Oryzias latipes: one gene and its partner. The protein of the gene in region 1 binds, or shares a complex with, the protein of each later gene. Links are inferred from orthologs where the notes say so. Each region holds a gene or a part of one and is shown in the gene's direction. Other genes may lie near its edges.

Evidence for each region.
Region 2: dpm1 (region 1) and dpm3 share a complex: the UniProt entries of both Homo sapiens proteins name them as parts of the dolichol-phosphate mannose (DPM) synthase complex. The link is inferred for Oryzias latipes from reciprocal best matches to the Homo sapiens genes DPM1 and DPM3.

The regions. Positions count from the first base shown.
Region 1 is NC_019865.2:4,536,777-4,541,343, reverse strand, and holds the start of dpm1 (dolichol-phosphate mannosyltransferase subunit 1), read left to right. Parts: upstream 1-1,616; 5' UTR 1,617-1,658; coding exon 1,659-1,789; intron 1,790-2,020; coding exon 2,021-2,120; intron 2,121-2,220; coding exon 2,221-2,254; intron 2,255-2,331; coding exon 2,332-2,408; intron 2,409-2,588; coding exon 2,589-2,614; intron 2,615-2,689; coding exon 2,690-2,785; intron 2,786-2,877; coding exon 2,878-2,946; intron 2,947-3,013; coding exon 3,014-3,128; intron 3,129-4,567. Other genes in the region: col20a1 (collagen alpha-1(XX) chain), read left to right, coding at 105-133. UniProt on the Homo sapiens protein: Transfers mannose from GDP-mannose to dolichol monophosphate to form dolichol phosphate mannose (Dol-P-Man) which is the mannosyl donor in pathways leading to N-glycosylation, glycosyl phosphatidylinositol membrane anchoring, and O-mannosylation of proteins; catalytic subunit of the dolichol-phosphate mannose (DPM) synthase complex.
Region 2 is NC_019869.2:1,108,746-1,112,041, reverse strand, and holds dpm3 (dolichol-phosphate mannosyltransferase subunit 3), read left to right. Parts: upstream 1-1,593; 5' UTR 1,594-1,682; intron 1,683-1,784; exon of another isoform or gene 1,785-1,835; 5' UTR 1,836-1,884; coding exon 1,885-2,163; 3' UTR 2,164-2,573; downstream 2,574-3,296. UniProt on the Homo sapiens protein: Stabilizer subunit of the dolichol-phosphate mannose (DPM) synthase complex; tethers catalytic subunit DPM1 to the endoplasmic reticulum.

The DNA.
Region 1 (4,567 bases):
GGAAGTTTGTAAAATTGTTCATTTAATATCTTTAATTTGTCTCTGAATAAAACCTAATCATATTTGTCTATGTAATTAACTATTGATTGTTTGATTTTCTACAGATGACTCTTATTATGGCTACCAGCCATGATCTGAGAGTACAGAGGGGATGAAGGAGCTCCACCTTGAAAAGACGCCCCCAAAGAGAATGACTGATGTGGGCATTCAGAACAGCATGTGGAGACATGAAAGGAATCACTACTACAATTTCTGCAAACAAAACTGCTGAAATATGATTGATATTTATAAAATGAAAAGACAAAAATCTTCCTAAAGGAAACCAGTCAAGAACACTGTCTGAAGCACTGAAGCCTTTTGTTTCTTTTTCATTGTTTTAGTGCATTGTATCACATCTAACTGTTGTGCTTTTCTTCTCTGTGTGTTTTGGTTTATCCTGAACTGCCTCAAACACGTTTATTATTCTATGACATGATACTGTGAGGTTATCTAATGTAAGATAGTTTGTATATTTTATTTGCTGCATCTTTATTTGTGTATATTTTTTACAGTAGAAATTCTAACTGCTAATTTATCTTAGTTTATGGTATTTTCATATTTTTGTAGGTCATGGGCCATTAGCATTGTAAACACGAGTTTAGAATGTATTGTTATGTAAACGTTTTTAGGAAGGGAGGAAGATGGAATTTTATGTTGTTTTCTTTAATAAAGTTTCCCAATTTTCGTCTTATCAATTTAGTGTTATTATTAGAATAGTTATAATAAAACTTAATACAGTTTTATTTTCTTTTTTAACTTCTAGGAAAAGATTTGCGTTCACAAAACAGAAGAGGAACTTAATTTGGTAAACCGTAGTTTCCAGTGGGGTTTATTTTGAAGAGGACAACCCACACGAAAGTTAATATTTGACTTCCGTTTTCTGAAACAGATTTTCAAAGTAAAGGTTTACACTGAGTTCAAAAGTGTACTGTATCGCGTGGCTGCATACGTAACTGCTACTCCAAAAGTATTTTTAAAAGTTCCAAAATATTTCTAAGGTTTTTTGCAGGTTACTCGAGATCATTTTTTAAATAAAAATATACATCCCACACTACGAAAGTAACAAAAAAGGTTAACTTAATCAATAGATATAGACGTAAAAAATGCGAACAAATAATTTATATCTGCTCATAGAAATACGTTTAAATAATTTATATTTCCAGATAGAAATATGCTAAGACTTTTATTTGTCTTTTTACTGAAAGCTTTATAAATTGGCACAAGTCTCTCATATTGGTGCTTTATTGTTTGATAATTTATTGTCCAAAACCCTTTTAAAACTTTAGTCAGTTGGCAAGTGAAAAGGCACAAGAGTTGTCAGACTATGAAAGGAAACAAACTATTTATGTATTTGGTGTCTGTCGTAAGTTTAAATCCATTGGGTGGCTTGGTCAAAACATCTTTAATAAAAAATACTGATTAAAAATGTGTTATTTGGGGGTTGTCCAAATTCACAATATTTCAAATAATTTTCTCACAAAACCTTTGTCAGAAGGAATAAGTCAATTTAAAAAAAATTGAAAATACACCATACGGTTTAAAACCTTATTTTGAAAGGTCAATTCCGGAAGTAAAGTTTCTGTCTTTTGCTGTTGCGGTTACCAGTGTGTCGCGTCGCCATGGCAAGCCGTAAAACTACACAACCGAAGCGGGACACCGAGGACAAATACTCAATTCTTCTTCCTACCTACAACGAGAGGGAAAACCTGCCTTTAATAGTTTGGCTTTTGGTGAAATATTTGGGGGAAAGGTAGGTCACTGGAACAGCCAGAATATAGCTGCTCGGTTTGGTTAGCGTTAGCCGCAGTTAGTTAACTCCTGGCTATGATGAGCTGTCACTTCTCTGGAGAGTCAACAAGTGTCCGCAGCCTCTAAGCTCTCAGTGGTTGCGGCCAAAAGTGCTTCATTAAATATAGAGAAAGTTTTCCACTCCGCTAGCGATCTCGTTAAACGGTTCTTTTGTTTGTTTTTTCTTTTGCAGTGGCTTTAACTATGAGATAATTGTCATCGACGACGGAAGCCCAGATGGGACACTGGAGGTGGCAGAGCAATTGCAGAAAATTTATGGAGGAGACAAAATAGTAAGTTAAGGTTTTCTTTTATGCTAACGATTAATAGAAGAAAATAAGAACGTTGATGCTGTTTCCTCTTTATTTAAATGTCCAATGTTGTGTGTTTTAGCTTCTACGCCCAAGAGAAAAGAAATTAGGACTCGGTAAGTGTTATTCCCTTAAAAGTGGACATGTTTATTTCTGGACTTCTTTGTGAATAGCTTTTCTTTTCCTTCAACAGGTACTGCCTACATCCATGGGATGAAGCATGCAACCGGGAACTTCATCATCATCATGGATGCCGATCTCTCTCATCATGTAAGCCGAGATCACTTTATTTGGGTTGGGAACTTAAGGCTTTTTGTCGTCTCTTTACACCATTCAGTTAATCATGGTGGTTTTTCTGTTTCACTTAGTTTGTTGTTGTTTGTTTATCTGAAATCTGATTTCGGAGGGATGGTCTTATTGTTTCTGCCTTTTTTCTTTTTTTCATTTCAGCCCAAGTTCATTCCTGAATTTATTCAGTAAGTGTCTCTGGTTGTTTTTTAGCTACACAATGAGACACATAGCCTCACGTTTGAATATTTTTTTTCTCTTAGAAAGCAGAAAGAGGGAAATTATGATGTTGTGTCTGGCACTCGTTACCGAGGTGACGGGGGGGTGTACGGCTGGGACCTGCGCAGGAAACTCATCAGGTAAGAGCCGTTGGAGTCCCCCGCATCTTTCTGTTGGTTTGTTGAAAGACTGACGCTTTACGTTCCGTCACTTCATCATCTCCTGGAATCAGTCGAGGGGCCAACTTTCTGACTCAGGTGCTGTTAAGGCCGGGGGCGTCAGACCTCACAGGCAGTTTCAGGTAAATGAAATACCGGTGAGTGGATCTGTGGCTGCGTGACGTGTGTGACACGTGTCGCTCACGTCAGGTTGTACAAGAAAAGTGCTCTGGAGAGTCTGGTGGAGCGGTGCGTCTCCAAAGGCTACGTCTTTCAGATGGAGATGATCGTCAGAGCCAGACAGCTCAACTTTACCATCGGAGAGGTGAGCTTAAAGCTTCTCGTTTGTATTTTTTATTTTGTTTGTTTTGAAAAAAAGAAAAATGTTTTTAATCAGGAATTTATATGTTTCATTTATCTTTCAATTAATTACATTGTTGCTGCTTAATAGAATAAAATATAATATATTATATTATGTATTTTTAGAATAGAATAAATGATGTTAAGGCCGGGGAGACTTATTATTTAAAGGTCCTATCAATGAGGTGCAAAGGTAATACCATGTCCTAAATATTGATACTAAGCAGTCGTGATTAATTTTTTTATGATTTTGATCCATTGGGTTTTTAACTTAAGTTTCTTTTTTATCCATTTTCTTTCTAATATTTGGATCAGAATTCTGTTTGTTTATTCTGTACTTTCATGCGACTGTTAGGTCATGAAACTACAGAAAACTGCCTTTTCCTGTGGTCTTTTCGGTGTTTGTTGTTGCATACAAACTGTTAGCATGGTTCAATAATCTAAATTAAGCACACAACATTTCTATTACTGAATATTAATAAATACTAGCTTGCTCCTTTTAAATCACAAACCATTTATTTTCTGACTTAAAAACAGAAAGTAGTTCTTCAGAATGTTCTGCAAACAGTTTCAGCTTTAGAGATTTTTTATTGTTTTTTTTTTCTCTTTACTTTCAATTTCAAATGATTAAGAAAGTCTTCATGAAATCTTGAAAACCATTCCAAGCATCTGCATGTTGCCTGTGATCTCAGAGAGATGCGGTTGGGCTCTAGTCTAGCGGATGAGTCACCTGTTGTCATGGAGCTTCTTCTGCTTCAGCTCAGAGCGTTTAGGATCAGAGTGAAAGCATCTGCGTGAACAAGCGGAGATGCGCTCGTGAGTCTGAAGATAAACGAATGAGCTCAGAGCCGATTTCCGATTCCAAGGCAAATGTTTACTGTCTGATGCTGACTGGAGACTCAAAATTGGGTTTGTTTTTATTAGTTTTGGCCGCGGCTGGCAGCCCCTATGAAGAATCCTGTAGTCCAATAAAAAAGTATTGCACTTTTTTTCTTTTCTTTCTTTATTTGAAAATTCAAGCTGTCTCATGTCTTCCTGGAGTAGTGCACATCTGTTTGGTTGTTTCTGCAGGGAAATAACTAAAGTTACTGCTTAAAAAAACGATTAAACATAAAAAAACATGCCTTGGGTTTATATTTTTATAACCTTAATCCGTTTAATTTCATAAATCTCAAAATTAAATTGAACAATATGTTTATTTGATCAGTTTATTTCATAAAACACCTAGTTGTTTCACACAAAAGATGCATTAAAAAACAACGAAAAAAAATGTTTTTTAAGAGTATTTTAATTCAATTTATGCTAATCTTTTCTAAAATAATTAGACTGTATATTTTATATGGGCACATATAGGTGATATATGTGATTTATGTGATTTATTACGATCCGAACTCTTCATCCTTT
Region 2 (3,296 bases), on another chromosome or scaffold:
TTAGACTGACATGAACCAATCGCTGCTTGCTGACGACGTCTGGCTCCAACATGGCGGTGTCCATATAACGAAAAAATGGCAACAGAATTGACTTAATTTAGTTTTGGGTTTGAATGGAGGAACCTGTTGGTGATCCATCCATCCATCCATAAATTTTTTTTTTTTTTTTTTTTTTTTTCATCCATCCATAAATACATCCACCCATAATCAGTTCTTGTATAAGAAATTCTGGTGACTGATCAGATCTTCAAGCTGTATTTATTGTATCTATTTGTGTTTTTTGGTGGCAGTTTGAAAAATGTCAAAGAAGAAGCAGATGAGTGAAAAAAACATGTAAATACTATGTATTAAAACACAACTGATAATTTCAGCAGATGTTGTTTTAAAGGCTTCATCACAAATAGGAGCACCCCCCCCGCCGTGTCACCGTCTCCTTTGACAGAAGCAAAAGGCTCCAGCGCCGCTTCCACCATAATTCCCAGTATCAGCAGCAGTGCACTCAAACCTAAACACCCCTGTCCTAAGAATAGCTCCCCATTTGTCCAGAAGAATGATGTTTATTTCTCTTTGTGTTTTGTTTGCATGAAGGATCTTTCCATCTCCTCCCTTTTCTCATGCCGGTCCAGAGAGATGCAAAGCGTCTGCACCTGCTGAGTTAGCAGCCTAACTGAACCCGCGCTGCACAACGCTGATGGAGTTATGGGAATTAAACACACATGAACCTGGCCTGGCCTCTGCTTAAACTGTTGGTGCATTCTTTGCTTAGGAAAAAACAACATTAGCATTCATGGTAGCTTTTAGTGGTGCTAATGATGTGTAATTTTCCAAATGGCTTTAATTTAGGACGATGAGGATGAAAAAGAGTTCAGGACTAATGTGGGGTGAAAGCTTGACAGGAAGCATCATTAAAGACTCGGTGGAAACAAATGATATTCTTGCTCACAGCTAAGTGAGAACTGCTGCTGTGAACAGACGCAACGCGTGAAAAACAACAGAGATGTTAATAGGTAAATGAACACATTTGAGGGTTTAACCAGAGAGCCCAACAAGAATTTCTTTATTTCGGGGAGCAGCCATTAAAATTACATAAAAATGTTAAACATTAAGAATAAAGAAAAAATAGAAAGGAAAATATAAAATAATTTTAAAAAGTTACATTTTTAAATAAAAAAATAGAAATGTATGATATTGTTACCGTTTTTTAAATTGAAAAACTTATCAAAAACGTTACTAAATGTGTCCCCATGAGTTCTCTGGGAGCCAAAAATATGATGGATGTTTGTTTACGAAAAGACAAATAACGGATAAGAATTGAAATCAACTAATGTTATATTTGTTAAAAAACGAAAAAAGGGCTTACATAAACATTGAACTGTAGAAAAGAAATCATTTATTATACTGCTAGGACAAACAGTAAATATAAAACAGATTTAAATAATATGTTGTAAGACTCTTTATATTTTCACATAAATACATATAATGTTAATAAATATTCCTATAATTTTTTTCGTATAAAGTGGGTTTTTTGTAAAAAAAAAAACATGTAAAAGTTCGTTTTTTCCCTTGACGAATAGTAAACGCTGTGCTGAGAGCTGAGAAAAACGATTTGAACTGCGTTTCCCACAATGCTTCAGGGATCTTACGTCATTAATCCGCGCAGAGCTGAGCTGGCGTTAAGGAAGGTAAACACGGCGGTTTCCTCTGCTTAAAACGCGATTTTAACGCCTTAAATTGCCTCTTCTAATCTTGTTTTCGTGTTTTTTTCGCGGCTGTGTTCATGCTAGGCTGTTTGGTGGCCTTTAAACACGATAAAGTCGCGGGTTTCCCTCCCGCAGGTGGTCGGAAGGCGCCGCGGCGGGACTCCTCACTCTGTCACTCACTACCATGACCAAACTGATGCAGTGGCTGTTCGGGGCGTCGCTGCTGGGGGGCCTGTGGGCCCTGGTCAGCTTCGACCTGCTGGACTTGAACCTCCCGCACACGTACCGGGAGGTGGCCTGGCCCATGCCCCTCTACCTGCTGGTGTCGTTCGGCTGCTTCTCTCTGGCCACCGTGGGATACCGGGTCGCCACCTTCAACGACTGTGACGCAGCAGCGAAGGAGCTGCAGGAGCAGATCAGGGAGGCGAGGGAGGACCTGAGGAGGAGGGGGCTGAAGATGTAGGACCTGATCAAGACCGCAGTGCTCCCGGTTCCGGTGCCGGGTGGAGGGTCCGGGCGGCCATGATGAAGGCTGTTTAGTCACGTGATTGAACTCCATGCCAGATTAACATCTGGATTATTTTTTACAACTGGAAGGGTTTCTGTCGATTGAACATTGATGGTGATGTTCCTTAGTTATTTTTTTTTCTTTTTAGCTCTTCATAAAACAGCCAAAATGCTGTTCTCTTTCTTTTCTAATCCTTAACCAGAAATGCCTCCAAAGGTCAGGCTGTGGATAATCCATCACACATCAGCGTCTTCTTCACTCTGCATTAACAGATCACTGTGTCTCAGTGCATTTGTTGCAGCAGAAGACCTGATGTCAGGAGGTTTTTCTTGAAAATTAAAGGAGGATCTATTTTGTAAATGTCATCTGTTGTTTGTGTGATGAACAGGCGTTCCTGATACTAGTGGACATCCCTACAGTGTAGAAGCCTGGTGTGAAATGTCGTAGCGGTGTAAATCTGGTGAATCTCTTTCTCTCTCAGCTCCATTCCGATATACGAAAGCCTTGGCGTCGCAGAACTCCAGTCAGGCACAAACTGCAATTATTCATTTGACCTCCGTGATCAATTGTCAAACAGTTGGTCTAAGAAAAACTATATATAACTGCGTTTCCCACAATGCTTCAGGGCTCCCACGTCATTAATCCACACAGTGCTATCAAACGGTTGGTTTTGGAAAGGACGCCATCCAAACCCGAGTCCCTGATGGATCAAAGTTCAACTGGTTTAACTTTGAATCTGTGCTCAGTAGACGTACATTTAGCCTGAAGACTGACTAAAAAACGTGCGTAGTTACGCGTGAAATCAAAAGTTTGAACGCTGAAGCCAGAAATGTGCATTTGTGCGCGTTTACATCGACTTTTCATTGGAAACTGTGTAGTTCTGGTGCGAACGCATCACGACAGTCAGGATGTGCTCAAGGAGCGCAGACTCATGTGAACATTAACGAGCTCGTTAACGAGGTTGAAAAACGTGCAAAAATCTGCGTGACACGCCTGCGTCTCAAATACGCCCCCCTAACTCACCCTTATGCGTTGGAGAAGCGTTCACCACGACCTCTCGCCGCATCAGAAAAAACATTTTCCGTCTA